Regions from separate parts of the Mus musculus genome. Here all the other regions are reported to be linked to region 3. Evidence: microRNA targets listed by miRTarBase, many of them from high-throughput screens and not tested one by one. Region 3 holds a microRNA gene; each other region holds the end of a gene's coding sequence.
Evidence for each region. The annotated mature microRNA mmu-miR-410-3p reads AAUAUAACACAGAUGGCCUGU and lies in region 3 at 2,803-2,823, opposite strand. An mRNA with a match to its seed (bases 2 to 7 or 8) in the 3' UTR can be bound and repressed. Matches are read on the target gene's strand: a 7mer-m8 pairs with bases 2 to 8, a 7mer-A1 pairs with bases 2 to 7 and ends in A, and an 8mer does both.

Region 1: the mRNA of Nsd3 is a reported target of mmu-miR-410-3p. Seed matches in the 3' UTR shown: 7mer-A1 at 952-958, 7mer-m8 at 1,523-1,529, 8mer at 3,297-3,304 and 7mer-A1 at 3,339-3,345.
Region 2: the mRNA of Lzts3 is a reported target of mmu-miR-410-3p. Seed matches in the 3' UTR shown: 7mer-A1 at 1,630-1,636.
Region 4: the mRNA of Usp6nl is a reported target of mmu-miR-410-3p. Seed matches in the 3' UTR shown: 7mer-A1 at 1,987-1,993.
Region 5: the mRNA of Ttc17 is a reported target of mmu-miR-410-3p. Seed matches in the 3' UTR shown: 7mer-A1 at 1,486-1,492.
Region 6: the mRNA of Syp is a reported target of mmu-miR-410-3p. Seed matches in the 3' UTR shown: 7mer-A1 at 3,409-3,415 and 7mer-A1 at 3,424-3,430.
Region 7: miRTarBase lists Nupl2 as a target of mmu-miR-410-3p. Seed matches in the 3' UTR shown: 7mer-A1 at 1,087-1,093.

The regions. Positions count from the first base shown.
Region 1 is chr8:25,713,923-25,718,196 of GRCm38, forward strand. Nsd3 (nuclear receptor binding SET domain protein 3) reads left to right here. Exons shown (of 23, transcript NM_001081269.2): 23 at 237-4,274. The coding sequence ends at 478. Among named protein-coding and RNA genes, the nearest start is that of Plpp5, 4.0 kb to the right of the region's middle.
Region 2 is chr2:130,631,247-130,635,537 of GRCm38, forward strand. Lzts3 (leucine zipper, putative tumor suppressor family member 3) reads right to left here. Exons shown (of 5, transcript NM_197945.4): 5 at 1,519-4,218. The coding sequence ends at 3,520. It overlaps Gm52563 (a long non-coding RNA gene), which reads left to right and starts at 4,196. Exons shown (of 3, transcript XR_003954061.1): 1 at 4,196-4,267.
Region 3 is chr12:109,742,293-109,746,586 of GRCm38, reverse strand. It overlaps Mir410 (microRNA 410), which reads right to left and starts at 2,872; the gene lies at 2,792-2,872. It overlaps Mirg (miRNA containing gene), which reads right to left. Exons shown (of 8, transcript NR_028265.1): 5 at 3,169-3,230; 6 at 2,740-2,921. It overlaps Mir409 (microRNA 409), which reads right to left and starts at 3,429; the gene lies at 3,351-3,429. It overlaps Mir412 (microRNA 412), which reads right to left and starts at 3,298; the gene lies at 3,219-3,298. It also overlaps Mir369 and Mir541.
Region 4 is chr2:6,441,376-6,445,639 of GRCm38, forward strand. It overlaps Usp6nl (USP6 N-terminal like), which reads left to right. Exons shown (of 15, transcript NM_001080548.1): 15 at 1-2,445. The coding sequence ends at 367. Among named protein-coding and RNA genes, the nearest start is that of Gm13388, 5.9 kb to the left of the region's middle.
Region 5 is chr2:94,298,223-94,302,529 of GRCm38, reverse strand. Ttc17 (tetratricopeptide repeat domain 17) reads left to right here. Exons shown (of 25, transcript NM_183106.2): 25 at 663-1,764. The coding sequence ends at 794. Among named protein-coding and RNA genes, the nearest start is that of Mir670hg, 35 kb to the right of the region's middle.
Region 6 is chrX:7,648,549-7,652,840 of GRCm38, forward strand. It overlaps Syp (synaptophysin), which reads left to right. Exons shown (of 7, transcript NM_009305.2): 6 at 9-339; 7 at 3,289-4,292. The coding sequence ends at 335. Among named protein-coding and RNA genes, the nearest start is that of Prickle3, 6.7 kb to the right of the region's middle.
Region 7 is chr5:24,181,659-24,185,965 of GRCm38, forward strand. It overlaps Nupl2 (nucleoporin like 2), which reads left to right. Exons shown (of 7, transcript NM_153092.4): 7 at 250-2,350. The coding sequence ends at 818. Among named protein-coding and RNA genes, the nearest start is that of Nupl2, 19 kb to the left of the region's middle.

The DNA.
Region 1 (4,274 bases), not on the chromosome of region 3:
GAGGCACAGGCCAGAGGATCGAGGCCAGCCTACACTTTGGAGAAAGACCTTGTTTCAAAATGGGGTTAATAACATATGCCTTTAATCCTAGCACTTAGGAAACAGGTGGCAGAGCAGCCAGGCTACACAATGAGACTTTGTCTCCAAAAAGGGGAGGGGGTACCTCTTGGGTTTTTGGTGGGTAATCAAGAAATCAGCTAACAGATACTTCCCTCTCCTCCCCACCCCTGCATTAGGAAAGTGGGAGTGCCCGTGGCATCGGTGTGACGAGTGTGGCAGTGTAGCCGTTTCCTTCTGTGAATTCTGTCCACACTCATTCTGTAAGGCTCATGGAAAAGGGGCTCTGGTGCCCTCTGCACTAGAAGGTCGTCTCTGCTGCTCCAGCCACGACCCTGCATCTCCTGTGTCACCAGAATACTGGAGCAAGATCAGATGTAAATGGGAATCCCAAGATAGTGGAGAAGAAGTAAAGGAGTGAGCGGTGGTGACCTCCTCCCACTGCTCTCAGTAAAGAGGCGCAGAGAGGCCACGCCTGCCCTGCCCTGCCGTCAGTCCGCCTTGACGGAGATGGGCGCCAGCTCACACAGGCTAAAGCACTTGCTGGTGTCTGGGTTTTCTATTTTGTTGTTTGGGGGATAATTTTGTGGACAGCAAAATTCCCTTGGTCTCTTCTTGCCTTTCATTGTGCTTCAGTGTCTTTGCAATCAGCAAAAGAGGTGTCCTTGTTTTTAGAGTTGAGAGAGAGAAAATTAAAAGAAAGTTTTGTCTATACGATCAGTGTAAAGCCTAAGATGTACTCCCGGGTTATGTAAAGTGAAAGTAGTCATTCCTGTATTTATTTTCATTTTTAGGTATTCTGAGAAGTGTAGTTCAAACAATCTAACCTCCATGAGTGCTCGTGCGTGTACGTGCGCGTGTGCGTGTGTGTGCAAGCGTGCATGACTGTCACCTTTATATACCTCTTTCCTGAGCCATAGAGTGGCTAACTTCTCTTTCCTTTTTCCCGGGCCTTTTCTCGGGTCAGAGAAGGCTCTCAGCAAGTATTCAGACTGGCCTCTTGAAAACAAACTCCTTGACAGCATTTACCTCTGTGGTCTTAAACTGGGTGGGCTTCATGGTGCGCCAACTCTACGTAGAAATATCTTAGAGGGACAAGGAGTGAGTGCATTCTACTCATTGTGATTTTCTGAAACATTTGAGGGATGTGAATACATAGGGGAATGCTCATTCCTGCTGTCCTGACCACTGGCAAGAGGCTAAAGAAAGATAAGGCACAGACCAAACATTGGATCATATATGCACCATTTTCTGACCAATTTAATGTAGACTCCAGTCTAACCTGGAATTTAAGGGCATTTTATTTTCTGTCTTTCCCTCTGCCAATCATGTTTCCTTTGCCAGCTGGGTCACTCAGTCATGTTTCCTGGTAAAGCTATATAACTGAATCTGAATTATATGAAATAGACTTTTTCAGTTGATTTCCTAACTTAGGGATGATGCAAGTGGACAGAAACATCCCTAAGTTATATGTGAACCATTTCTACTTAGTATTATGCAATACTTAAGACTGTCCCCATTGCATAAGGGGAAGAACTTGCTCTTTTACAGGGTATGTAGGAGCCACAGAGATGCTCCATGTAGAAAGCACTTGAAACCGCCCCCCACAAAGTCAGTGTTTGCAAACATGGCTGTGAGGTTTGAATAGTACAGACCCAAGCATACCAAGGCGTCGGCCCGCAGAATTCACTTGCATCTAGCACTTAGGATCTAGTCCAGTATTACTTGTGTGAAATCATGTCAGACATGGTAACATTAGACTAAATAAAAATCTAGTGTTACCATGAAATATGAACTTCCTCAGTGTGTTTCAACTGCTTACTGGAGGTACCCAGTAGGCTCTCTTCTCCTCAAGAACCTATACTTTACTAACGTAGGGCACGAGATGCTCTATGACACCCTGTAGTTATGTTAGGTGCGTTTGTCCTTTTTTTAGTTTTTTACAAATCAATTCAGACCTCATCTCTGGACAAAAGAAAGAGCAATTTTGTGCCTCTTTTTTTTAAATATATATAAATGTGCAATTTATAGGCAACAGACACTACAGTTCCTCTCTAAGCTCCTGAACTGCCATTTACCTAGTCTAGCACTTGTGGTAATCCCGCTGGCTAGACAAGCTCCTGTGAGGAGGGAGACAGGACGGTACCCAGCACCCAGTGCAGTCCCTACGACCGACTCGAACGAAGCACAGCCCACGCAAACACTAAACTCTCTGCTCTTGAGCAATTATGAAGTTTGATGTCCTTTAAAACAATAATGTAAGAGTATCTGGGTTTTGTCATATTAAATTTTATTTTATACAGACATAACATTTTTTAAACTTGTTGATAAGCGACTTCCTTTGATATTCCAAATGTAACCCTCATGAGAACAATGTCCGATATGAGATTGTATCTTGTTTCCTTTTTGACCTCGTGCTTTTTAGTATCTGATAACTTTTATAGAGTAAGCCCCAGGGTTCATCATGTATTTATAAATACCCTACCCTGACCTATCTCTCTCCTGCTTCTCTGCTATGGCTCGCTTGTTTTTATATCTATAAAAGGACTTTGCACTTTTCAGATCTTTTCCTACTAGATGACTAACAGGCTTGCTCTCAGAAGCCTGCCTGCTCCAAGCCAAGTGCAAGGGCGACTGCCTGTGCCATCATCGCAGCCTGGGTCTTAGAACTGAGGGTTAGGAAGCAGAACGTTGGCTGACTGGTGTAAGTATACGTACACCGTCGGTCGTTTCATGTCCTGTGTCAGTGACATTGCAAGGCACTGTGCTTACTCGGAGCCTGAAGCTGCTTGGTGGTAGCTTTTCAATATGGTTTAGGTATACAGCATTTGTGGTTGATTTTATTCAGCCCAGAAATAAAGGACTCAAAGCAGCATGGGATACTAGTGGTATTTCCTAACCTCAGGAGGAAGATGAGAGTTCTGGTTATCAGTGGAAAGCTTTAGAAATTGGGCTGGAAAGAGCTAGAGATGATAGCACGAGACCATCACAAGCACTGTGCCTTGTAGGTGTCGCTGGGCCGCCAGGGTAGCTGCCTGTGTCTGGCCAAGCAGGATGGGACCAGTGCTCGTCACTGCCAGTGTGCTGCAGTAACCTCTGATTTCAGTCTCCAGTCAGGGTGGGGATCAGAGTGGAGTAGGTTTTATCTTCACTTTTGCTTTGCAAGCCCTACCTACTCTTATTTTAATTCTCAAAAATTACCTTTCCTAAGCTGTAGAATAGACTTGAGTTTTCTGTGCGTTATATAAATAACATATATATATATATAAATATAAAATGTTTTATATATATAAGTGGTGTGTGTGTGTGTGTGTGTGTGTGTGTGTGTGTGTGTGTGTGTACACATACATACTGAGTTAGGAAGTATTTGAAACTAAAGAGATAATAAGGGCCTGCAGCCCACTGCTTCTGTCAGTGTCTCCCACTGCAGTGTTTGCGGAAGTGTGTGTAACTAATATGGATCTGAGATACTGAGGGTCTGTCTGCTCATGTGAAATACTCGGCTGGACTGGTAGGCAGCTTTTATGCAGTGGCTTCTTTTTTGAGTACTTTCTTACTGTTTCGGGTCAAAGCCAGACTACAGTTTGAAGTCCTCCCATTATCTGTTCAGAACATAGACCCGGCTCTCCAAGACCTGCCGCTAATCTTGTCAAAACAACACTCCTCTTGCAGCACTTCCCCACGGAGCTAAAATGCTGCCAACCACATGCCATGCCCTAATGGGAGAGGGAGACAAATTGCCTCAGTCTCCCTGAGCGTGAGCAGCGTATGGTCTTTATGTTTCTCAAGGCACTGCTTCATTTCTAGACTTGAATTGCTTTTCACGTGGCTGTTGCATCTGACCATCCCGGACTCTGCCAGGCTGCTAAGGGCAGCGTGGAAGTGATCGGATGGCAAGGTCCTCAGGAAGGACCGCCCACACTTGGTCTTTGCTTATTTGTAACAGAATGGTTGGTTACGGAAAGGTCTGGTCCCTCCTTGGATGGACGAAGGGATCCGTGTAGGCAGCTTTGCAGTGGATTGTTGTATGGACTGAGGTGTCACAGTTTTCACCTTGGGTGGGGGAATGGGAATGTGGGGAGAAAGGGAGGGAAAGGTACAGTGCAGTTCCCCTAACACCGAGACCCCCCCACCCCATTTGAATTCAGGCTCTTCAATTCCTTGGGACTTCAGATTCTCATTTTATATTTTACAGTTTTAAAATTAAGACATGGAAA
Region 2 (4,291 bases), not on the chromosome of region 3:
GACAATCTAGTTTCTCTTTGCAAAATGCTGTTTCCTAGTCTCCTATGAAGTGGGAGGAGCTTATAGCCCACCTCTAGTCAACAGTACTGGAAAGGAAGAGTTATTGCATGCTTCTAGGACTTTCTTGGCTTGCGCATATGGAGGCCAGAGGTCACCATCAGGCAACTTCCTCAATTACTGTCTACCTTACTTTTTGAGACAGTGTCCATCACTGTAACTGGAGCTCACAGATTCTGATTGGATGATTAGTAACAGACCTAGTGGCTCCTGTGCTGGGGTTACAGACAGAACAGGCTTCAGGGCCTGCTCTTATATTGTTGTTGCTGATACAAATTCAGGTTTACATACCTGTATGGCAGGCACTTTATTGTTTGAGCCATTTCCCCAACACCCAGGAAAACTTTTTTCTTTTTAAGGTATCTGTATAATTTTTATAGGTTTGTTTGTTTGTTTGTTTGTTTGAGACAGTGTCTGACTGAGTAGCTGTTCTAGAACTCACTCTGTAGACCAGGTTGGCCTCAAAGATCTGCCTGTCTCTGCCTCCTGAGAACTGGGATTAAAGGTGTGTGCTACCACACCCAGCCTCAGGAAAACCTCCAATATCACGATGAACTGGTGCAAATCAATCTTCTCAAAGAGCTGGGATGCTCTGTGGCAAAGAGGAGACAGGTTGAGTGGATAAGGATGAAAAAATCTAGACTCTAGCTCAATTGTTCTCAGCCTTTCTAATGCTGTGGCCCTTTAACACAGTTCCTCACGTTGTGGTGACCACCAACCATAACATTCTTTTTGTCACTTCTTCATAACTGTAATTTTGCTACTGTTGGGAATCTTAATGCAAATATATGATAGCAGGATATCCAATATGCAACCCCTGGGAAAAGGTTGTTTGACCCCAAAGGAGTCAAACCCACGGGAGTCAAAACCCACACATTGAGAACCACTGCTTTAGATCCACAGAGAGCCAATATCTGTGATACCTACTACTGGACTTGTTGGGTGAAGGGAAAATAAACCATGTTTTAAAAGTGGTTAGATATGTTTACTGAACACTCCGTTGTTTTTGTTGTTGTTGTTGTTGTGAGGCTTTGTGGGGTGGACTGCAGGAAACCCTGTAAAGGACGGATCACCATTTTACAGCATGCCTGGGTCTTTTGTCATTATTTGAAAACCCATTCTGTGATTCCATGCTAATCACTGGAGTGTTCAAGTGACTGCAGGCTGTGCCTAGCTGCCCATATCACCTGCCTTCTGGGTAGCAGCCTAGTGTATGGCTCCTGAGCTAGTCAGCTGGTAACACTGCTAACAGCCTGAACTGAAGAGAGAACACCCCCATTGGTAGGAAAGGTGGAACCACAATTCCTGGACAAGCATGGAAGACTTGGGCTTTGAGCCAATCTCCTTGCATAGTACAATGAGTAACTCTGGTCCCATGCCTCCTCTGGAGAAATATCTGTTCCAGCTTTGCCTGCACCCCCCAACCTTACCTCCCGTACTTGCAAAGATACAGGCTGGCCACAGAATTGCCATCCAAGAGGCTTTCTCCATTTTATTTCTTTGGGAAAGGAAAAATGAAAACTCTTTCCATCACATATGGTAGATATATATATTTATATATTTATATATTTATATATAATTTATTTTGCAGTTGGACATTCCAAAGCTGTTCATATTTTTCTCTCCCCCCATCTCTTTTGTTTTGTGTTAATGCCTTTTCCCAGTCACTGTGGACCAGGCTCAGGGTCTGAATCACGTATTGTGAGGGATTAGAAGAATGGGCAGTGGTTGCCAGAGTAGCCGCCAATCAAGGTCAAAACCCTGCTGAGGACCACCCAGAAGGAGCTGTGCAGAGAGGTGGAGACTACAAATAGGGCACTCCTATTTTTGTGGGGGATGCACAGCTTGTTAAACAGTCACCAGTCATGGGAGGAGGCTGGTCAGGGCTTGGGGGACTTGCTCACAGTAGTTACCAACCCTCTCCCTCCTGTCCCCAAGATTCCATCTTGGGGTGGAAGAGAGAGTGAAAAAGAGAAATACAAGGACTGAGGGCCAAGTCTCCTCTGATTGTTATTGCTGGTGAAGTGGAAATTTACTTTCTTAAGAGAGAAATTAGAATTTCCCTGCCTGTCTTGGGGAGATAGAATCTGAGAGATCCTAGAGAAGGAAGTGACATTGACTGTCACGACCCATACTGATGACCATACCAGCCAACCCTGCCCGGACAAATGAGCCAACTCAAGAGTCTGGCAAGCAACCCAAGGGTCAGTAGTCCTCCCTCTCTCTCTTTCTCTCTCTCTCTCTTTCTCTCTCTCTCTCTCTCTCTCTCTCTCTCTCTCTCTCTCTCTCTCTCTCTCTCTCTCTCTCTCTAACATACACACACACATTAGCCTTGTTCCTTGAGGGCAGTCCCATCCAACTCGGACTGGCCCCTCAAAGCAAGGGCCCCAGGCTCAGACTTGGGCCAGTGGAGCTGGGGGTGAGCAGTGCACCAAAAGCCAAGCAGAGCTTTCTGCTGGGAGGAAAGGTGAAACTTGGAAGAAAAGGCAGCCTGGGAAGATGTGAGTGCGAAAGGAGGCCAAGGGGAGAGATCGAGGGAAAACACAGGAAGACATCAGACATCCATCCATCTGACCTCAGAAACGGGCAAACAGAAGACCTAAGAGGCAGGTATAGCTATAAGCAGAGCTGAGCAGTGACCCTGGATTTGGGGGGGTCAACCAAGCAGCAGGGGATGTAGCCTTGTAGGATCCTGGCCAGAGGGTGAGGGTGGGGCTGAGAAGCCTCTAGGTGACCCTTCCCGAGGGTAGGAAGGCAGATCTCCCCTTGGGATTGAGTTTCCAGCCTCTGCTCTCACTTCCTCACTATACACAGAGGGACACATGCTCAGAACTAGTCCAGGCTCTGAGGCTGGAGCCCAAGATACCTTGGTGGGGGAGGGGTCGGGCAGGTAGCCCTCTCAACCACAGGCAGGCCATCTGCTCCCACTTCCCCTGCCAATCTGCCTGGGGAAGGAGAATAGCACATGAAGGAGAGAGACTGGGAGCCTAGGGTCTGTCGACACGGGCAGACCCATGCAAGCTCCCTCAGGCTGTGTGGCCTAGGAGGGCACAGACAGTAGCACTGGACAGATGGTGGTGACGGTGGTGGCGGCGGTAGCAGCCCAAGAAGGGAAAGGGGCTGGGGTACTCCCTGGCAACGCAGGCCTGCTGCCTCTATCTCCAACACGAGGCTTCCCCAGAAAGGGAGCCTTGCTCCATGCGCCTGGGACCTCACCCCATTGTACTCTGCCCTCTCCCATGCTCTCCTTGGCAGGAGGGTCTGGAGTGGTCACCCACAAAGGCAGTGCTGGAGCTGCAAGGACGGGGGACAAGTGGGGGGAGGGGCTGGTCACAGCTGCTTCGAGAACCTCTTTGGTCTGGGGATGTGCAGCACACGTGGGGAAGGGAGATGAATGGAAGGGACATTGGTGACTCCGACCTTCAGACAGGGCACGTGTCAGAAGGTTGTGCACGTAGAGAATCAGATTTCAGTGGACTCGATGCGCTCCAGGCGGGAGGGGGTCCAGGCTTTCTTTTCCTCTCCATGCTGGGGAGTAGGCGTGCTGGACCCCCCTGCTGCCCCACGCTCCCGAAGTCGCCGCTCCAGCTGCTGGTTGCGCTGATACATCTCCACATAACTCAGCTGGAGCTGTTTCTGATACTCAATGACCTTCTCCTTCTCCTCCAACCACACCCGGCGCTCCTCCGCAAAGCTGGCACCCTGGCGCTCACGGGCACGCCGCTCAGCAGCCAGCTCAGCCTGCAATCTCCCCACCTCCCTGCGTAGGGCCCGTGTCCCACCCTCTCCTCCAGCCTCCACCTCCCCATCAACAGAAACCAGAGAAGCGGCAGCCGCCACGCCAGCCTGCCGGCGCATCTTGGCCTCGTCACTCTCACAGGAGGCCAGCGCCTCCTGTGGCTCGACCAGGTCCACGGGGGTCAGCGCAGGCTTGAGGCAGGCAGGGGGCAGCTCGCCTTCACTCAGCTCCAGGCTGGCCTGTTTGCTGCCGAAGGAGTCCCTCAAGCTGAGCAGCTGCTCCTCCTTCTCCCGGAGCGAGGCCCTACCCTCCCGAAGCTGTGAGCGCAGCCCCACGATCTCACTCAACTTCTGCGACACATCGGCCTGAGAGTCCTTCAGTTGTTGCTTCAGGAGGGAAATCTCACCGGCCTTCTGGCACACCTGGACAGGGGCAGGCGGAAGCAGAAGCCGGGGTAAAGGCACAGCCGAGGTAGTAAAGACTTATCACTACCCA
Region 3 (4,294 bases):
CATCCTCTTAGGGTCTCCAATGAATTTGGAGTGTGCGTGTCGGTGGTTGCTTGGCACCCCAGCTGACATTCCATCTTGTACATAATACTCCCTTGGTGGCTGAGGTACCTGGGGCTTTCCCCATCGGTGATGCAGAGACTAGGGGTAGCCTATCTGTGGATGCCGTGGTGTGACTGCGCTTACACTGGAGCAATTAAATGGAGAGATCAGCAGCCTTCTTGCACGCGTTTAATATATTCCAAAGATGTGTCATTAACAGCAATTTCCATCTCCAAATGTTCCCATTTGCTTAGGTCCATGCATAAAATATTAGCCCTGACAGCAGCTCAGGCCTGCTGCACGAGGGCCTCTGAGGGGCCTCTGGCTTGCTGCCACGGAGACGTTCACGGAGTGGAGGGTGGGGGTTGTGCTCAGATGAATTTGAAGCCTAGCATGAGACCCCCAGCTACAAAAGTAAAGAAAAGCCCGCAGACATAGCTGACCTGTCTGTCCCCTATCGCTGTACGTCTCAAAAATCGGTGACTAGCTGGGGTGGGAGGCCTCTAACAAATGCAAAGACTAAGTGAACCCAGCTTCTATATTTATGGAATCAGCCACCACATCTTATGGAATTCCTGCTTCATGCTCACCACCTTCCTGGGGATTAACCTAATATGGTTTCTGCCTTTGGGGACTCTATTAGTCAATCAGCACACTCCATTATTCTGTCACTATAGACCTGGCCTGGATCCTAAGGCTTAGAATACAGCAGAAGATAAGTCAGGGAAGTAAGATGGGAGGGAGGGAAGGGGTAGGGAGTAAAACAGAGGAAAGAGAAAAGACGCAAAGGAAAGGTCCTCGTCTGCCTTGGGAAATCTTAAAGCTTTTTTCTTTTCTTTTCTTTTCTTTTCTTTTCTTTTCTTTTCTTTTCTTTTCTTTTCTTTTCTTTTCTTTTCTCTTCTTCTTTTTTTTTTTTTTTTGTTTTGTTTTGTTTTGTTTTGTTTTGGTTGGGGTCAGGGAGAGGCTGGGAACCAAGGTACTAGGCAGTTTGGGAAAGCAGGCACCTGGGGAGCCATAGCTGACAAGCAGTCTGATGTCATATCACAAAGGAAGGAGCTGGATAAGAGTGTCAGGCTGCCTGCACTGTCACTGCAGAGCAGGGAACACGATCCCCTCCGAGTCTTGAACTCCTGTGGAGGGGGCCTACAAGCTTGAGGACCAAGGAAGGGGGATGGACTGTGGGAGACAGTAACCAGGACCAACTCCCAGAGAGAGGGCGCCTGGGCAGACCATCCTGAACAAGAGAAGAAATCTAAAGGAGACCATGTGCTAGGTACAAGCCAGGGTGCGCAGCCACTATCTCTGTTGGAAGAGCATTTTGCTGCTGAGGAGGCCCAGAAGAGGAGAAAAAGCATGCAGGGTGGAGTTGCCAGGGTGAGGGTGCTACTTGCTCCAATGGGGAGCAAGCCCAATCAGAAAGAGCTCTTTGCCACCCTGGGGAGCCTTACTAAATACCAAAAATCTATAGCCTGTCTTTCAAAGGCTCCTACTGGGTGTGATCAGGTACTTTCTGGGGTCCTTGAGACTCTAGGTCAAGCCTCTACAGTAAGCTCACAGGAGTCTGACAGAGCCAGAGTGTTAAGTTGGAGGAAACATGAAGAAGTGCAGGCTACATTGGACACGCAGACTTTGTGTGCCCCGGTACAGGGGAACGCCAGGGCCAAAGGGGGGGAGTGGGTGGGTAGGGGAGTGGGGGTGGGTGGGTAAGGGGGACTTTTGGTATAGCATTGGAAATGTAAATGAGCTAAATACCTAATAAAAAAAAAATGAAAAAAAAAAAAAAAATAAAAAAAAAAAAAAAAAAAAAGAAGTGCAGGCTAATCCCTACTGGGCCCCCTGTGCTCGTGAAGCAGGGACAGAGCTTGGGTATCACTGCCTTGTAGACTCAGGAGGACATTCTGTGCTATTTCCAACAGGGTGGCACTGAGGACAAGACAGGCCAAGGGATGGTCTCACATACAGACTAGAGAGTCAACCAACACAAAGGCTTCAGTTCTTGGCATCAATGCCTCAAAGTAGAAATGGTCTAGGGTAGGACATGGTGCAGAGAAGTAGGCTGTGGGATAGTCATCAGATAGAAAACAAACGTCTCAGAGACAAGCTAGCTCAGGTACCACCAGCACGGACTCTACTTAGGATGCTTCTTCCTCTAAGATGCCCTTCTGGACTTCCCAACCCCCACCTCAGGAGATGTGAGGCTCTGGGTCAGGATGAGTCAGCTACATGCCTGACCATCAGTGGTGTCCAGTGGGTCAGCAAAGTGTGTCCCTCCCCTGACACCCATGCTCACACAGTAAGAGCCAATGATAAAGAGAGGTGACCATGCACTGTACCAGCATTAAGAATGGAAACCCGTCACGGGCAATCTCACCTCAGATACTAGGAACTGCACGTGTAACCAACTGGCCTGGCTCTTCCCTAAGTATCATGCTAGCCCCTCCAAGCCCTCATGGTATTGAGAAGCACCCAGGGTACAGGGCATTTGAGCATGCAGCCCTCGGTGGAAGCCTTAGACAGGGACAAACACCCATTGTTGTGGCGGGAAAGAGGCATGGAAAGTGGACAGCCATCCATTGCACATCTGGCCAATGCTTCGTGGCCCAGCCTACAAGGTTGGTGCGATCCCAGGAGGCTCCTCAGAGCTGAGGTTCAGTGAAGAGGGGGTGACAAGCGTCATACAGAGTCCATGCATTTACCTACCGGGCAGTGGTGTGACACCTGGTATGTACTGCCGAGTGACCGGAGTGGCAGGTGGTATTGAAAACAGGCCATCTGTGTTATATTCGTCATTAATAAAGCGAACTCATCACAGACAACCTCTCCTCAAGTACCCAGTGTTGACCGCAGCAACCCTGGAGCTGGAATCACCACCTGAAGCTGTCCTGGGGGGAAGGGGGGGATTGCATATAAATGGTGAGTAGGGTTGACACAGGCAGCACACAGCCTGTTCCACCCAGCCCAGTTCCCCGCGGAGGCAGCAACCTAGAAGCACCATGCTGTCCCCACCCCCACAGGGGCTGCAACTCCAAGAGCTTCTCCAAGCTGAGCGTTGATACTGAGAAAAGATCAACCATGTATTATTCGAAGTCAGCCAAGCGAATATAACACGGTCGATCTCCCTTCAAGTACCAGCAGAGGTGTTGAGCTGAGGCTGTGACATCCTGGGCGCAGGCTGCAGCGGGCACCGACGGCTAGTGGACCAGGTGAAGTACATTAGAAACAATTACTTTCCAGCTGGTCGACCATCCGTCCCATACCCCAGAGCGAGATGAGTCCATGGTCTTCCCTGAGGTGGCCTCCCTGGAGGGATTTGATACCGAAAAGGGGTTCACCGAGCAACATTCGTCCTCCAGATGCAAAGTTGCTCGGGTAACCTCTCTCCGAGTACCACGGAGAGGCTCGGATGCTCAGAACGAGGCCGATGGCTGAGTTTCCAGAAGAACCATCCTGGAGCCCCTCAGAGATTATAACTCCCCATTCAGTGAGGAGCCACCCTCCACCACGTGAAAGCAATTATTCCATCACCTCCCCAGTGCAATCTACCACCCTTTCACCTTCCAAGAATATCTAAAGCCTTCCCAGACAACCTTGAGACCCAGGTAGCGAGGAGCTGACTCGGGGCAGAAGTGGGTGCAGAACTCTGCTTACTCTATCTCTCCTTTGTAAGCTGGAGATAGGGAGATGCTGAGACCCTGCGCATATACCACACCACCCTCCCAGAGACGATGCCTTCCAGAAGCGAGGAGGCAATGACTGCATCATCCAGAGATGCTCCTCCTTGGGCCCACCCAACCACTGCAGCCCCACGACCCTGGCATCCCCGCCCTGTCACCTGCCCCCTCCCCCCACGGTGATGTCATAGCAAGAACTGCTTGACCATCCAGTCCTATAAACCAAGCAAGTAATGCTTCAAAGATAAACATGGAGGGAGGAGAGAAAGAACAGCGGAAGGAGATCCCGCAGGGTCCCCTTGTGCCAGTGTGTATGGCTGCCCCGCACGAGCACGCCAGGGAGGGCTCTCCAGTAAGGGTCAGGATCCATTGACTTAGGCCATAAGCAGAGTATGGATTCTGTGTTCGCCACTCATTTTAAAACTCTTGGAGTGTGACCAACATCAGAATCCCTTCTCTGATTTTGGCAAGAGTTCACACAGGCTTCTAGCCTTGCTGCAGGGCAGCAAGAGACTGGTCACATGCAGTGTGTCATACGGGGAAAAGACGCCACGGGCAGCTTCATGTAGGTGTTCTGGAAACTG
Region 4 (4,264 bases), not on the chromosome of region 3:
CTACGGCAGTTCGGGGTCACCAAAGAATGGACAGTTCATCCTTCCTCCGGTGGACTATTTGCCAGAGAACAGAAAATGGTCAGAAGTTAGTTACACATACAGACCGGAGATGCATGGCCAATCATGGACTCGGGATGCTCACCGTAGCCACTTAAGCAATTTACCAAACTATGCAGCCTTTCAGCACATACCGTTTCAGGCCCATGGCCTTCCAGAAGTGTCTGTAGACAGTCCAGTGAGGTATAAGATGTCTGCAGCTGTGGAAGATGCCAGTCCTCCTGGGTATCCATATGCAGGGCCCTCACCTTCCGCACATCACTACAGAAATGGAGAGGGACTTTCTGTGCAGGAATCAGTGTTGCTGTGAGCGTGTGGCTGTATTCACTGACAAGAGAATAGAAACAATATGCCCACATTGCTATGTTTATAATTGCCAGAGCAGTATTTTTTATATTGTAAACAGCGTGCGCAGCTCAGTGTGTGTCAGTGATAAGAGTGTGGGAAGGCTTCATCCTCTGCAGAGGCTGCTGAAGAAGAGTGGGTCAGCTGCATCCTGGCTGAACCTTTAATAGGGGACCCTGGGGACCCAGCAGTAGCACGAGGGCTGCACACACAGGGCGGCTCTCTGTGCTGGTCCCTTCGTAGCTCCCCAGACCCGCTCTGTTCCGTTGCTGTTAGAACAGTAGACTACTGACCGCTATAGAGCAGATACTCTGAGGGCCGACCCTCGCCTTTTCATAGACAGACGAGGCAACTGCATATAGGTTTTGTCTTTAAAACCACCTTTAATCTAGATACATAGACTAACAGTGGATTTTTTTTAACCCTTTATCTTTCTGCCCACCCTGCCCAAACATATTTTAACCCAGGTTCTAAACTGAAACTGACTAGAGATGAATCCAGCGCCTGACAGAATGTCATTCTCCTTCAGTTGCTGCCATTTTATCTCCTCCTGAAAGCTAAAGGCTCACCACTTGATGGTGCCTAAAGTGGGTCGGTTACCCGAGTGAGCGGCTGCACAGTGCTCACTGAGTCCCCTCATCTCCAGCAGTCTTGGTGCTGCTGTGCCCCGGGCTCTGGTCTGGCCGGGTGTGAGGGAAGTCAGACCTTGCAGGGCCCCAGGCCGCAGAAGATTGCATTTCACAGTCGTGGGGAAGCAGCTCTAACCATAAGGAAGGCTGCTTCTCACCCTGCTTCCCCTTCTCACAGGCTTTCTCTGGCACTCGGTCTTCACAGAGCACAGTGGGTGGATACTGCTAACACTTACTGGGCCCCGGTCGAAATTGTGAAAAATACCCTAATGATTAATAAGGAATTTTAATCTAGAATTTTGATCTTTGTAAAAAAAGGGGAAAAAGGGTAGTTTGTTTCATACTTTTGGAATTTTTTTTCAGTGAAAAATAACTGAAGTTCATGGTTTTTAAAAAAGGTGATGATTCCTTTTATGCTATCACACACTACTGTCACCGAGACACTGACAAAGTGCTGGGTTCTCCAAGAGCGATGGCGGCGTCTGTGTAGGTGCTCGCCCACCGTTACCCTCTTCTTGTATCTGAATATCAGAAACTAGAAAGTCCAACAGTGACACTCCCCCTGCTCCAAGGTGGGGACTTAAGTTTGTGAGGTACAAGAATATGTTTTCATGAAAGTAACATTGTTTATCTAGCAAACGTGACAATATTTTTATGTATATAATGATTCTAATCTAAGTTAATTAATGTGGTAATGATGTTATTAAGTGTGGAAGCAAATGCAGTATATTAAAGGTGAACACCACACTGAAACTCCCAACTCCTGACAGAATAACCAGGCTCTTGATTTAGATCATGTGGAAGGTGAGATATAAATGTATATAGACATGTAGCTGAGGATATTAATTTCAGTCTTAAAGTGTGACTTGTAAGGAGCCAAGCTGTACAGTTTAGTTCATGATGGCAGCTCTCTGCCTCTTCAGAAAGTATATATCATAGTGGTAAATAATGTAGATTATATATATACATATATATATATATATATGCTATATATGGACACACTATTTTCTTATGTCATCTATGGCATTTTTTTATCTGTATACTTTTTGATGTGGTTGATTGTTTTTAACATGCTAAAAGTAATCCGTGTATTTTGTTCTGTGTCTTCTGTGTGCAGCTTCCCCGTGGCAAGTGTGTCCTGGCCTTGCAGGGCCTGGCAGATGCACCACGGGCTCACCAGCAGCGTTTACCCACGCTGTGCTTCTCTGCTTGCATTTCCAGGGAGACCGTGTTTTGAACCGCATCACCTTTCCTTGGCTTAAGCATTCGTTACTAATGGCAGGAAAGTCTTCCCTTCTATAAGATATATATCTCTGTTAGCTTCAAGTAGGAAATTTTAATTTAAAATTATTTTGCCACTATAAAATTTTATTTTAAATTTATTTTTAAATAAAAGAAATGATAAGAGAAATAATATTGACAAAGTGATTCAAAATCTATTTATAGAAAGGCTTGCTGGGGACATTCCAGGCAGATGAGCAGCCATGCCCCATAACGGCGTGCCCACAGTGGCCGGGCCATGGCTTAGGCTTCCCTCATGGTCACTTTGCCCATTACGTCAGAAGTAAGTGTCTGGGTGTGGTAGTATAAGTTTCTTAAGGAATTGTCCTGCTGACCTGTATCTAACTAATGAACTTAAGGGTCTGGGTTTTTTTTTCTTTTGTTTGTTTGTTCATTTTGTTCATTTGTTTGTTTATTTTGTTTTTAATTATCAAGTCTCACCCCAGACCACTTAAATCCTATCTTTGGTAAAACGCAGGTATCAGAGAAGCATATTTCCCTTGTGTCTCTTAATACTGTCATCTTGAAACTCTCTCTAGGAAAAATGCCCAAGTTGTCTTCTGTTTCTATTGTGGGATGTTTAAAAATGGTTTGTTGTTGTTGTTTTGGTTTCTGAAGACAGTATTGCTATATATCCCAGTCTGACCTTACTGTGTGTTTGAGGCTAACCTAGAAATTGAGGTGGAAAAAAAAAAAGGCCGGGCGGTGGTGGCTCACGCCTTTAATCCCAGCACTCGGGAGGCAGAGGCAGGTGGATTTCTAAGTTCGAGGCCAGCCTGGTCTACAGAGTGAGTTCCAGGACAGCCAGGGCTACACAGAGAAACCCTGTCTCAAAAAAAAAAAAGAAAGAAAGAAAGAAAGAGAGAAATTGAGGTGACCCTCCCTCAGCCTCCAGAGGACTGAGATATGTGTGTGCACCTCCCATCTCGCTCAGCACAGGGTTTCTGTGGGATGAGTTTGATTCTCTTGTTCTCACTGCTGAACTGGTGTTTAAAATTCTTCGCAGGTCAGAAGTTTGGGAACTCAAAAGTGACATCAGGAAAGTTAGGAAAAAGTCCACTGTCAACATTATCAGCTCTCCTCATTTCGAGCTATCTGCTAGTCACAGCTGAATAGCTTTGAGGAAGGAGGTGTGGCCCCCTCACACCCAGACACCCAGACACTTAACCACTCCTGCAAAGCAGATAGAGCCTTCAGTTTGCCATTACCCACTGTGGTCTGCTTTTCAGCCTAGCAATTTGAGCTCTCAGCAGTGAGAAGACCCCGCCCTGCCTTCATTAGAGCTATCAATACTGAGTGGCTAGAACTCCAGGGACTGTGTGGGTTGCTCTGTTTTCTTACTGGAATGCCTTCTCCGGAACTGTTGCGGTTTCATTCTCTGTCATCAGGGCTATTTTCTACAGACCTTGAGCCTCAAAACCTGTTCTACCATTGAAGGAGAGGAAGATTGAAGTTGGCTTACATTTCTACAGTGTTAGGGGCGTAGGAGAATTGGGGCCAACATCCCATCAGAAGATTCGTGAGTCAGTGTAGTTTAGTGTCAAAGCAGCTTGTGTTGGGGCGTGTGGGACTTGAGGATTGGGGATTGACAGGTTTCATCATCGGATAGACATTTGGTTATCCAGAGAGAATTGGTAATTTGCCAGCGTAAGGGACCCAAAGCCACCAGTGAGTACATGCCCCAGAGATGGTGGCCAAGCAGAGCAGTCACCCACAAGGCAGAGTTACTCGTGAGAAAGGGCAGCAGTGTTGTGTGCATCTGTCAGTCAGGTTGTATGGGCTGGAGGCTGGCAGGTCTGCATGGTAGGCTGAGTTTGCTGTCCAATAGCTGTGTGACTTTGGGCAAGTCCCAGTCACCTTCCTGGCCTCACTGTCCTCAGCTGTAACCTGGGCATTTGAGAGGTACAGGCAGAAGAGAAGACAATCATGGTCTGATTAGTTGAGTGACAGGA
Region 5 (4,307 bases), not on the chromosome of region 3:
TGAGGCACCGGGTCCTGGCCAGGCTGGCGGTGCTGAATTGCAGCCTCTCCTGTTTCTTAAAACTGAAGACTGTTTTTATCCCCAGTAACTGTGAAATTTGCTGCTGTGAGTGAACAAGTCTGTCTCATTGTGTGAGAAAGCCACTGAGGCTGTCCTGCTCTCTTCTATGTAGAATTAGTCTGAGTTAAGAGAGTTATGTGCTAGATATAGCATTGATCATCTCTAAATGTTTTAAGTATTTGGAAAAATAAAAAAAATCCTGAACTCATACAGTGCTAACAGTTGCCCAAGTTCAGCTCCATCATGCTGGACATGGTAGAAAATCAAAGCAGATACACAGTGAGATTCGCCAGGCCTCTGTCTAGGGGTTTAGGAAGCCTATGGAAAGGATGTTGTAAGGCCAGGTAATAGTGGCTCTTAAGATGGCTACTGCATATTTCAAGCCAATAGAGGCCAGTTTTCTGCTTTCTGCTTTGTCTATGTGCTCAGCCACTGCTTGCTTTGTGGTTCTTCTGCCCTTGGGATGAAACATACTGCGTCGCCTCACACCTCAGCTGTCCACAGACTTAAATCCACATCAAAGTCATGGTGGGTTGTCCCTGACCACAGCCATGTTTAGTCAGGTAGTGTCGTCCCTCACATCTGCTCCTTATCCCTCACAGGAAGAATTTGAGAAGGCCCTGGTGTGGTACGAGTCAACGCTGAAGCTACAGCCAGAGTTTGTGCCCGCCAAGAACCGGATCCAGACAATTCAGTGCCACCTCATGCTGAAGAAGGGCCGTCGCTCTCCCTAGAGCACTCCTTCCTGTCCCTCGGCTCTCCCAGCCCTCGTCAGAACAGAGCCCCACCACTGCTGGTACCCGCATGGATGATGTGTGTGAATTGCCAAGTAAAATGTAGCAGAGCTTGGCCTTGCAGGGCCAGCTGGGTTTGCTTGGTTTTAAGTTCCTCCTCCCCCAGCCGCCCTCCGAAGAAGCATCTTCAGAAACAGGGTTTCCCAGACACTGTAAATACTGAGCCAGGACAACTCGGAGCTCCGCTCTGTCTTCCAAACCTCCATGCCTTCAAGGCTCCTCTGTGGTCCAGACGTTTCCCTGGGGAGGCCAGAGCCACGCTGCCCATTCTCTGCTTCCTGTGTAGCCTCCGTTGTCCCTGGAATCGCAGTGCTGCCCGGGGCCAGTCAGTGAGAAGCAGGGATTCTCCACGTCCCCACCAGCTCTCCTCCCTGACCCAGTCTCGTCCATTCCACGCTGCTATGTTACAAGCTCTCAGAGATAGTTTGCAGGGGAGGAAGGGGAAACAACTTTACAAACGAAATATTTACAACAGCAGAAACTCTTAGGGTCAGCTGACCTTTGTAAGTTATTTATGTTGGGGTGGGAGGGGGGCTGAGCAGGGGAGTCAGCCATGTGCAACATCTTTATCATTTGTATTTTAATTGCCGATCACAAGGAAACCAATATGTTGAAGTCCTATATAACAGGTTTATATATATAGAATATGTGTATTTGAAGCCCTCTACAGACTGAGTCTGTGTTACTAATTCCTTGTTCGCTGTGTTTCCTGTCTTGGACTAGGCGTGACTGTCAGCCCTCTCTCTGAGGCTGGCACCCCAGCTCCTCAGAAGAGAGCCAGGAGCCAAGGTTGGGTGTCCCATACAGTGCCCTCATCTTTGGTCCCTGGAGAATCAAAAACTCCAACATTTTGGATTCTTTACGGGCACATCCTGAGAACAAAAATAAAAATTGTTTATGAGCAAAATCATTCCGTGGTGTAGTTTTTCTTCCATTATGGGCTAATCTGGACTCTGGTAACCCCGCCCCTGGTTAGGTAATTCCTGGGTTATCCCACAGCATCAAGGTGAGGAGGGAATAAACTTAGAGCTTGAAACATCTGACCGGAAGCTGCAGCAGCAGCAGCAAAACTCACGGTATGACTGACCTTCCTGGAAAAGGAAGCATTGTCAAAGCCAGAGCTGTGACTCCTGACTCCTCGGGCCAGCCTTGAGCCTCACATCCGCCCAATAAATATCTCACAAAACCAACTGGTCACCCCTGGGGTGAGGCCCCACTGAGGGCAGCATTCTACAGAGTTTCCCACAACATTGTCAGGCCATCCCTAACATTGGCTCACAGAATCCAGGCACAGTCCAGCTAGTTGCAGTTTTGGTAAGTGTTTGTAGACTAACCAGCAACTCATTTGCGTCTGGGTAAAGTAAGGAAGGCTCTGCTCAGAAGGGTCCTGCAGTAAGTATCTAAGCAACATCCTGCCTCCCTACCCCACCACACTTTGTCAGTTTTCCAGAAATCTTCAACAATTGCTTATTGGCCTTTGAAGCTTACGATGAAGTTGATGTGGTGTATAATTCTGCGAGTTCCCTGTGGGAACTCACAAGTCCTGAAGTTCCGAAGCAGAATATGAAAGTCCATTGTGGGCTTGGGGAGTGTACCTCAGTGGCAGAGCGCTTGCCTCACAGGTATGAGACCCTGGGCTTGATCCCTCGCACCACAACTTAGTAACATTAAGGTTCCTACCACCCAGAAAAGATTCTCCCACTGATACTTTGTAGGCAAACCGCCTCTGCCCTTAACCCTTAGCAACTACTGGCCTCCTCTCTGTCTCTATAGTTGTGCCATTTCTGTAGTGTCGTGGAAATAAGATTACATCATGTATACATCCCCCTCCACCCTTTGAGGCCAGATTTTCTCATTACCCAGGTTGCCAGTTCTCACAGTCTCACTTAGTTCTACTGTTTTTCTGGAGCTCTCTTCCCTAGATGCCATCATGTAGTGACATTCGTCACACGGCACTGACATGAACTGATCCCCTTTTCTCCTGCCAGGTGCTTAACTCCTGTGTGTAACCAATGTCTGCATCCTCTTCTAACAACAAACAGGCCCATAACTAAGTTATTGCTCAAAACTTTTGAACTAGTGTTAAACAGGCCACACTATAAATCCTACAGAAAACAATAGTGACATCGGGAAGAAGAAATGCCAGAGAACAGGAGCTAGAAAGAATAGGGGAGGTTAAATCGACAGGAATAGCAGAGGCTTGGAAAGGATGCTGGCCACCCATCTCTGATCATGTGCAGCTCCTGACCCAGGTAAGCCCTTGGAGTAAAGATAGCCACACATTAGTCAATAGTGTTAGGTCTTATTAGCGCAGGCCTTCACTCTGCTAGTAGGATTTCCCTAGTTCTAGAAACTCTTTCCTTCCTGCTAACCCTGATTCTGAAGCATGTCTGTTTAACACAGTAACTCTAACCTGGGAGGTGAGACATGCTCTAAAAAACCCCACAGTAGAAACTCCTGTGGAAGTTTTCAAATTGATGGATTTCTTCCATTCTATTTTCCAATTTACTAACTCTCTCTTCAGCTGTATCAAATCTACCATTTTAACCAATCTGGTTTTTATTTCATGTCACTTTTTGCACTGGGAAGATTTTTTTTTTTAGCTAGTTTTCTGAACTGTATCCACCAGATTATATTATATAATCTCATTTTGCAGGGCATAATCTTTTAGCCACTTAAAGAGTTTCAGCACACTTATGTTTCAAATTGGTATTTTTCGTGTCCATTAGGCATGAGTTCTTCTGTTTGTTGATTATATATTTTATAAAATATAAATCCTGGGCTTGAGAGATGGCTCAGCAGTTAAGAGCACTGATCGGTCTTCCAGAGATCCTGAGTTCAATTCCCAGCAACCACATGGTGGCTCACAACCATCTGTAATGGGATCTGATGCCCTCTTCTGGTATGTCTGAAGACAGTGTATTCACATACATAAATAAAATTTAAAAATGATAATAAGATGTAAACTCCATCCCCCCCAAAAAAGGAAAGAATCTATCCGAACTGCTTGCTCCCCTTGTCCCCTTACTCTTACTCTCAGTCCTCACCAGCCACACTACCCTGACAGTAATAAAATGCCCACCATGTTTCTGCCTCAGGCACCTCTGAATTGGCTCACCTCACCATTTTCTTTCTCTAGATCACATACAGAATTTAGGATACAGAATTAATATATGCGATTGTTGACTCTTAGAGTCCCACAATCTATTCTCTGTAAGCTGGAGAAAGTTTTATGCCACAGAGTCCCAAAGTTGACTCAAATTCAAGCCTAAAAACCAAGGATCGGGAACCATGAGGGCAGGCCACTGCCACTGATTTCCTCATCCTTGGTTCATATACAACATCCTCAGAGACACAGAAAATATAAGCCATGTGTTAGTCCTTAAGATGGTTAGTTTTAATTGTCAACTCAATGTAATCTAGAATCTCTTGGGAAGAGAGCCTCAAGGAAGA
Region 6 (4,292 bases), not on the chromosome of region 3:
CCCTGCAGGTGTTTGGCTTCCTGAACCTGGTGCTCTGGGTTGGCAACCTATGGTTCGTGTTCAAGGAGACAGGCTGGGCCGCCCCATTCATGCGCGCACCTCCAGGCGCCCCAGAAAAGCAACCAGCTCCTGGCGATGCCTACGGCGATGCGGGCTATGGGCAGGGCCCCGGAGGCTATGGGCCCCAGGACTCCTACGGGCCTCAGGGTGGTTATCAACCCGATTACGGGCAGCCAGCCAGCGGCGGTGGCGGTGGCTACGGGCCTCAGGGCGACTATGGGCAGCAAGGCTACGGCCAACAGGGTGCGCCCACCTCCTTCTCCAATCAGATGTAATCTGGTGAGTGACAACTGGGCGGATGCGGTAGGCAGGGAGCATACAAGGAGTGAAGTTTGAAGGAACCAATAGATAGGCAGAACCAAAAAAAAAAAAAGGTGAACTTGGTAAAACTAGCCAATGAGAGGAACCGTGAGAAGGAAGGGGACGGAGCAGTGCTCAGAGTAACCAATGAAAGGAGTGTAGGGGCACTTGCGCAGTGGAGAATCACCAAAGTGGTGTAGGTTTCCAGGAAGGGAAGGGGAGGAGGGTCTTTGAAATCATTGGTAAACCAATAGGCGGTAACGCCAGTAGGTGGAAGAAGGTAAACACGTTGGGTTTTGAAGGGCGCTAGCGCTAAAGCAGGATGTAGGTCAGCTGCTACCTCTCCTTAACCCTTTAATGAAAGAGAGAGTTTGGAATTTCAAATGAGGAAAAGGGGAGGGCTGGAGGCCTTAGAAACACGAGTATGCCTTTTTGTTGGGCCTTTAAAAAATGAATGCCGCCGGACGGTGGAGGCGCACGCCTTTAATCCCAGCACTTGGGAGGCAGAAGCAGGCGGAGTTTTTGAGTTCGAGGCCAGCCTGGTCTACAAAGTGAGTTCCAGGACAGCCAGGGCTATACAGAGAAACCCTGTCGCGAAAAAAAAAAAAAAAAAAAAACCCTGCCTGGTGTGATGGAGCACATATATAATCCCAGCACTTGAGAGGTAGAGGCATGGGGATTGCAAGTTCTCGAGTCCTGCGTGGTCAGTATAGCCCAATCCTGTCTTAAACAGAGACGGTAACAGCATCTAGGTGGGAGCAGATGTGGTCCTGGGTGAGCCTTCTACAGCAACCCACATTTAATTGTTTTTAAACTCCTTGGACAGGCTCTGAGACACACCTTTAAGCACAGCTCTGGGGGAATTAGAGACAGGCCTAGGTCTCTTGTTTTGCAAAGCAATTTCCAGGCTGCTTGGAGACCCTGTGTGTGTGTGGGGGGGGGGGGGGGATTCCAGTCCTGTTGGTTCCTATTTTCAAAATCTCTCCAGCCTTTTCCTTTTTTTCACAATTATCTTCCTTAGAGTGCTTCCCAAGTGCCTGTCTTCTATCCTGTTTACAACCCCTTCTACCACCCACCCAGCAGCCTCAAGGATTCTGCTGGGCCACTGGCCTAGATTCAGAAGTCACTGTCCTTCCCTCACTGTCTGTTGTAGCATCTCACTTAAAAGCAAAAACGATGTTAGTGTGCGCCCAGGCCCACCAATGCAGCACTGCCCTATCTTCCCCACAGACAGAATGTGACCTTCGCCTCCTAGCATTGTTTCGGGCAAACTGGCCCGGGCCAGGTCTAGGTGCACTGCAGGGCCTTTGCTTTTGCTTTCTACATACACACCTTTCCCTAGCCATTGCTTTGGTCACTCACTCAATGAGGTTTTTTGCTGGCTGGCTGGCTGTCGGGAGAGTTGCTTTGTTTTACAAGTACTGAGACTTGAATTCTTGCACACTAAGCAAGTGCTCTAACACTGCCTCTTTTTACTTCTTTTTTGTTTGTTTTGTTTTTCCGAGACAGAGTTTCTCTGTGTAGCCCTGGCTGTCCTGGAACTCACTCTGTAGACCAGGCTGGCCTCGAACTCAGAAATCCAGCTGCCTCTGCCTCCCGAGTGCTGGGATTAAAGGCGTGCGCCACCACTGCCCAGTCTCTTTCTACTTCTTATTTTGAGACAGAGTTTACTAAATTGCCCAGATCAATTTGGAACTCATCCTATAACCCAGGTGGGCTGTGAATTTGCAGTACTCTTGTCTCCATCTCCCATGTGGCTGGAACTCATAGGTTTGCACCCACCAGCACACCTGACTTAGTTGTTGATAGTATTTTTGAGACAAGATCTCCTGTAGCCAAGGCTGGCCTGGAGCTCCTTAGGTCACTAAAGCTGATCTTGACTTCCCGACAGTGCCTCTACCTCCCTGTTTTGCTTTGGTTTGAGTTAGGGTCCGATTATGGAACCAAAGCTGGCCTTGAACTTGTTTTCCTCCTGCTTCTGCCTCCTAAATTTTGGCACGGGTATATACCACCAGCTACATATCAAAGGTTGTCTGTCTAAAACACCTCCGCTTGTTATCTCTCGCATCATACCCTATGTTTTTCCTTCTCACAATTTGTAATTTACTAATTTGTGGTTCATATATTACACTAGATTGGAGATCTAAGACTCATTCGTGCTACCCATATATCACTTAGAGTACTTTTTTTTTTTTATTCTTTTATTTAATCGTAAGTTCAAATGTCCATGGAGTCCAGAAGAAAGGTCAGCTTCCTTGGTGATAAATGTACAGATTGTTGTAACCCACCCAGTGTGGGTTCTGTGAGTGAAATGTGGGTCCTCCAGAAGAGCAGCACACATTCTTAACTCCTGAGTCATCTCTACAGGCTCACTTAGGGATTTTTTTTCTTTTTTTTTTTTTTTTTTTTTGATTTTTTGGTGACACGGTCTCTCTACATAGCCCTGGCTGTTCGGGAACTCACTGTGTAGATCAGGCCGGCATCAAACTCACAGAGATCCAACTCCCTCTGCCTCCTGAGTGCTGGTATCAAAGGTGTGCACCATCATGCATGGCCTATTATCGTCTTATATTTGATAATCTACTAATATGTCATGTTCATTGTGAAACCTGTCTCCTTTCCTGATATGATGTAAACCTCACAGAGATAGGGATTTTTTTTTTCTCAATGTGGATTTTCAACAGTGACTAGAACGGTACTGGTTAATGGGCTATTTTGGTTAAGAGAGGGGACCTTAACCGTTCCTTTGGTACCCTGTTTGAGCAGGGTTGGTAATATCTTCCTAGTGAGAGCAGCTAGGATGGCGCTGACTCCAGACCTGTTGGAGAAGAAAAAGCCTAGCGGCCCAATCCCTTCCTGAGGGTACTGCCCTCCTCTGGGAGCTCAGACTCTGCCCTCACCTGGACCCCTTCTCTTTTCTCTCTACAGGTCAGTGAAGCCCACGAAGACCCCACGGGTGGGCAAGAGCTCAAGAGAAGGCCTGCCCCCCTTCCCATCCCCATATCCTAGGTCTCCACCCCTCAACCCAGGAGACCCTGTCTTTGCTGTTTATATATATATATATTATATATAAATATCTATTTATCTGTCTGAGCCCTACCTTCACCCACTCCTCCATGCACTAGGGGCCCAGTCCTGAATGGGCTCCTCCCTACCCCTGACCTTGCACTCCTCAGCCCCTATCGGTTCCCCAGCCCTGTCCCGTGATGTAAGGGGGCTCTAGAAAGGGGACAGGAAGGGGGCCAGACCTTGGCTGCATGGAGTGGGTCGATGTGACTTTTTCCCCCTTCCTTCTCTCCCTCTGCCCCTCCTAACTCTAGCCTTGGTTCCTCCAGCATCGCCTGAACTTAAGAAGCTCTCAAATGGAAATTCAACCCCAAGAGTAGAGGGGTGGAGGTGGCTTGGATGAAATGGGTGGAGAGGAGATGGCCTCTGTAGAGAGAGGACCAGTCAGCCAAAAGTTGAATTCCACACATACTGGATGTGGAGCCTAAAAGGGAAGTGGTGTCCTACACCATTCTGGAATGGGGCTAAAAGGGACTGGGGAGAGGGGTACTAGGAGGGGTGTGGCTTAAACACATGGTGGGTTCCGGAGTGGGCAGGTTTGGGTTGGATCCAGCATCTCTAGAAGGGGTGTGTCTTGGAACATTCAGGAGTTTGAGCTTGATTCCAAAGAGCTTGAGCAAGGCTAGAAGTGGGATTCGGGAATGATCTAAGCTTGAGAGAAGGTTCTGGTCAGGATTGCAGACAGGCAGGTGAAGAGGACGAGGGATGTGTGGTGCTCTCAGAAGAGGAAGCCCATTCTGTAATGGGGCAGAAAAGAAAATACGGTTTCAGTTGAGTGGAGTTTGAGCAGTGGGTGTAGGAGGCCATGGTTGGGAGCTGTGAGGTGAGTTTTGCTAAAAGTAGGAAGGAGTACTCCTGATTCCACC
Region 7 (4,307 bases), not on the chromosome of region 3:
AGGAGTGTCATTGAGACCTTTGTCAGCACACAGCAGTCACAAGGCTGCTCTGCTGAAAAGCATGGCAAGCCGAAGCGCACACCCACTCTGACTCGCATGGACGCATGAGTCGTGACAGGGCAGTGGGACTCAGAGGGTCGGTTTAACTTTGTTTTCATGTGTCCCTAAACTCTTCAATATCTACACATGTCTGAAATAAGAGAAGGGAGCGGCACGGCCACATTTTCTGACTGTAACCTATGTTTGTAGGCTTCCCAGTGAATAACAGCAGCAGCAGTACTGTTCAGAACTTTAGTTTTAAAACAAGCCCTGGACTTGCCACTCCTCCTTCCGGAAGCACTTCAGTATTTGGAAGTCACCCAGCCTTTGGGGCTGGGCCCTCTGCGGGCTCCTCCATCTCTTCCTCCACTCCAGCCTTTGGACTTGGGAAACCTGAAGCCACGTCTGCTGCATCATTTTCGTTCAAGAGCCCTGAAGGTTCCAGTTTTGCATCACCTGGGTTTTCGGGATTTCCAGCCTCCATGGCAGCGAGTCCCTCTGGCTCTACAACAGCCCCTCCCTTGAGAAGCGGCAGTTCTGTGGCTGGTTTTGGCAGTCCTAGCCCACATTCTCAGGCTGTATTTGCTAAACCTTCCACTGACGTGTTTGGAGGTAGCGGCATATCTACCTCTGTCCTAGCCTCCGGTGCCGCTGATAACGCACTGTTCACACCCAGGGATCAGCTGATGAAGGAAGAACTGGAGCAGTTTCAATCCCAGAGATTTACCCTGGGAAAAATTCCACTGAAGCCGCCACCGGTCGAGCTTCTGACTGTATAAAGGTCAGGTTTAAATACAGAAAGAATGCCTTAGCCAGGCATGTCCTGCATGCCTACAGTCTGGGAAGCTGAGCAGCAGAACACCACAAATTCAGGCCAGTGTGGACAGCACAGAGTGAACAAGAGACCTCCAAGAGAAAGCTCTGAATGGCTTTGAAAGCCCTGTTTTTATAGTGCTGCAGATCAGGCTGGGCTCACCCAGGCCAGGCGGATTCTACCTGACCCATACTCCTCCCTAACTATGGCTTCTGAGATTGACTTGAATACGTTTATATATATATATAGCTTTCAGTAATTTGAGGGATTTTAAAGTTTAACTTTTCTAAACACCCAGCTAAATAAAGGATAGCCAAAAAAGTCAATAAGCAAGGGACTCTTTTGTACTGTAATTACGAGTGGAACTAAACAGTACAGTGTACTGAATAAAGTAATTTTCTCATTCTACTCCACTTTCTGTCCCTTTAAATAGGGATGTGAACAGTGGTTTCTGGAGATCAAACCCAGGTACAGTGTCTCCTGCATGACAGGAACTCCGTCTCCCAACTCTGACTTGTGCCTGCATGTGTGTCTGTGCACCACGTACATGCCTGGTTCCTTTAGAGGTCAGATTCCCTGCAGCTGAGGTTACAGTTGTGAGGCACCATATAAAGGTGCTAGGAACTGAACTCTCGTCCTCTGAAGCAGCAGTCCTCCTAACCTCTGAACTATCTACCTCTCCAGTCCCAAGCCCTCACCTTTTACATGGGAGAAAATCAAACGTGGAAGGAGCCGCTGAGTGGGTGGAGCAGTGGCTGCAGAGATATGCAGATGTGAGGACCCAAGCTGATGCCCAGCACTTAGGCATGGGAGTGCGTGAATCTGTCTCCCCAGCACTCAAGAGGCAGAGACAGGTAGATGCCCAGAACTTGCTGACCAGCCATTTCCAGAAACCCTGTCAAAAGGATGGAGAAATGATAGGGGAAGACACCTAACACCAACCTTTGGCCATCACACACACCTGCGCACAAACACACATGCGTATAGTAGACCAAAAAACTCAAGCAAATGGCTTACCTATTGAAGGATGGGCACTCCAGGTGTTCATGAACAGTGCGGAGCATTCTTTCCCTCGGGATCCATATTCTGACCCTTTTAAAGTGTGATTCCCATCTAACATCAGAGGCGTTGCTCTTCTATGGAGTCCAGCAAATGCAGATCAACTACACAATGACAGGCGGACCAATACATGCGTGTCATTAACAAAGAATCTTCCATCACGTGTCCTTTCACGTGCTTGCTTTAGCAGAGCATCCTCTCTCCTGTGTCTGCTTCAGCGAAACATGCCGTCACGAGTCTGCCTTAGCCTTTCACACCTGTGTCCACTTTAACAAAAACGTTCCTTCATGTTTGCCCCAGCAAAACATCATCCAAACAATTTTCCAAAGAACCCTTAAATTTCCACTTCATTATTTAATCTGGAGTCCACCCTGAGAAGTGGGTATGGTACGGTATGCATCCACTTTCCACAATGAACATCCAATAAACAATATAGATAAACATGGACTGTCTGTTATCTACCACCACCATGGGGAGCATGCAGGTCTTTGCTACAGAGCCGCTGCAGCTAAATCTCAGGTAGAAGGCCTCTGTACTTCCAGCCTCCTCCACTGAGCTAAGGACAATCACCCCTGAGACAAGCTGGCACTTCCCTTCCTCCCCAGGCTCTCACCTAGATGCTGTCCCCAGCCCGTGCACACACACACACACACACTCCTCCGTTCTCAGCTCTTCTGTGACTCCCAAGAGTCCAAGAACCCCACTGCCCCAGCCTTGTCACAGTCCTGGGGACCGCCGAGCCAGCTCCAGCTTTCCCACATCTCAGACTCTGCTTTCTCACCCTCAGAGCAGTATCTAGGTGCTTCCCTGAAGCCCAGCACACTGCATGGAAAAACAGTCAAGCACATCCCATGTCTTACCTCCCCTGTGGCTGTACCCTGAGGCAGGGTGGATGCAGACCCACATTAAATCATAGCTAAAGACACCCCTGTTGATTCTTGGGTGCCTCCCCTATCCCAGGTCTCTGTCTCTTCCTGGAGATGCCCCCTGCCTCCTCACCCTCAGATTTGGGGAGGGGCAGGGGGATGGTTGGATGGCCATGAGAATTAATGGATATCTACACCATACCTCTCTCTATTTTTTTTTCCGAGACAGGGTTTCTCTGTATAGCCCTGGCTGTCCTGGAACTCACTCTGTAGACCAGGCTGGCCTCGAACTCAGAAATCCGCCTGCCTCTGCCTCCCGAGTGCTGGGATTAAAGGCGTGCACCACCACACCCGGCTTTACACCATTACCTCTTAATCCTAATCTTCAAACAATTTCACTAACTAGGAACCAAGCATTACAACAATATGAGTGGGGGGCAGGGGCCCAGAGCATTCTCATTCAAACCACCACATGCGCACCCCTCCAGTGGTACTCTTTATACATATCCTGATAACTACACTGAGAAATAGTATTATGAGGAATCATATTTTGTATCTTATTTACAAAGCATCCTGAAGAACTTTCCATATTAGTAACTATGAGGGTTTGAATAAGTTTGGCCCTATAGACTCATGTGTTTGAATGCTTGGCCCACAGGGAATGACACTATTAGGTGTGGCCTTGTTTGAGTAGGTGTGTCACTGTGCTTTGAGGTCTTCTATGTCTAAACTCCACCCAGCCTGGAGTCAGAGTCTGTCTGCAAAAGACAGGCTGCCTTCAGGTCAAGATTCTTGGCTCCTCCAGCACTGCTTGCCTGGACGCTGCCATGCTTCCCACCATGATGATAATGAACTAAACCTCTGAAACTGTAAGCCAGCCCCTGTTAAATGTTTTCCTTTATAAAAGTTGCCAGGATCATGGTGTCTCTTCACAGCAGTAAAACACTAAGACAATAGCAGATAGATTTATCTGGCTATTGCCCATTGCTAACTGATTTAACTATAGCTCCAATTGTGAGTAGACAATACTAAATTGGTGGATTCTAAGACATAGGTTTTTATACCATTGTGAGTATAACTGAAAATACTGAGTAGAAACTGGATGGCTAGTCCTAGTCTTGTTAGATGCCCCCTGGTCCAGCTTCCCCACAGTATTGATCCCCAGCTGCTGTTGGTGTGGTAGGAGGTTGTGGGACCATGAGGCAGCAGGGCCTAGCTGGAGGAAGTGTCTCGGTAGGGTAGGCCTGTGTTTGTTGGCTGCCCTGATATGAATGACTCCACTGTGCACTCCCTGCCATGCGCTGATACTGAAAGCCAAAACGTCCCACTTACGTTGTTTCTTGTATCTTTTAATTCTTTCAAATCTTACTTTTAATGATGGTTCTTAAACATCTTAACCTCCCTTTTAGCCCACCGCCAACCAGAGTTAGTGGGAAAGAAAGGATATGGGGGAAGTGGGCCTGCTTAGAAATGGTTTTTTTTTTTTTTTTTTTTGGAGCAACTCCTGTCTATGTTGTCAGCAGTTCAGT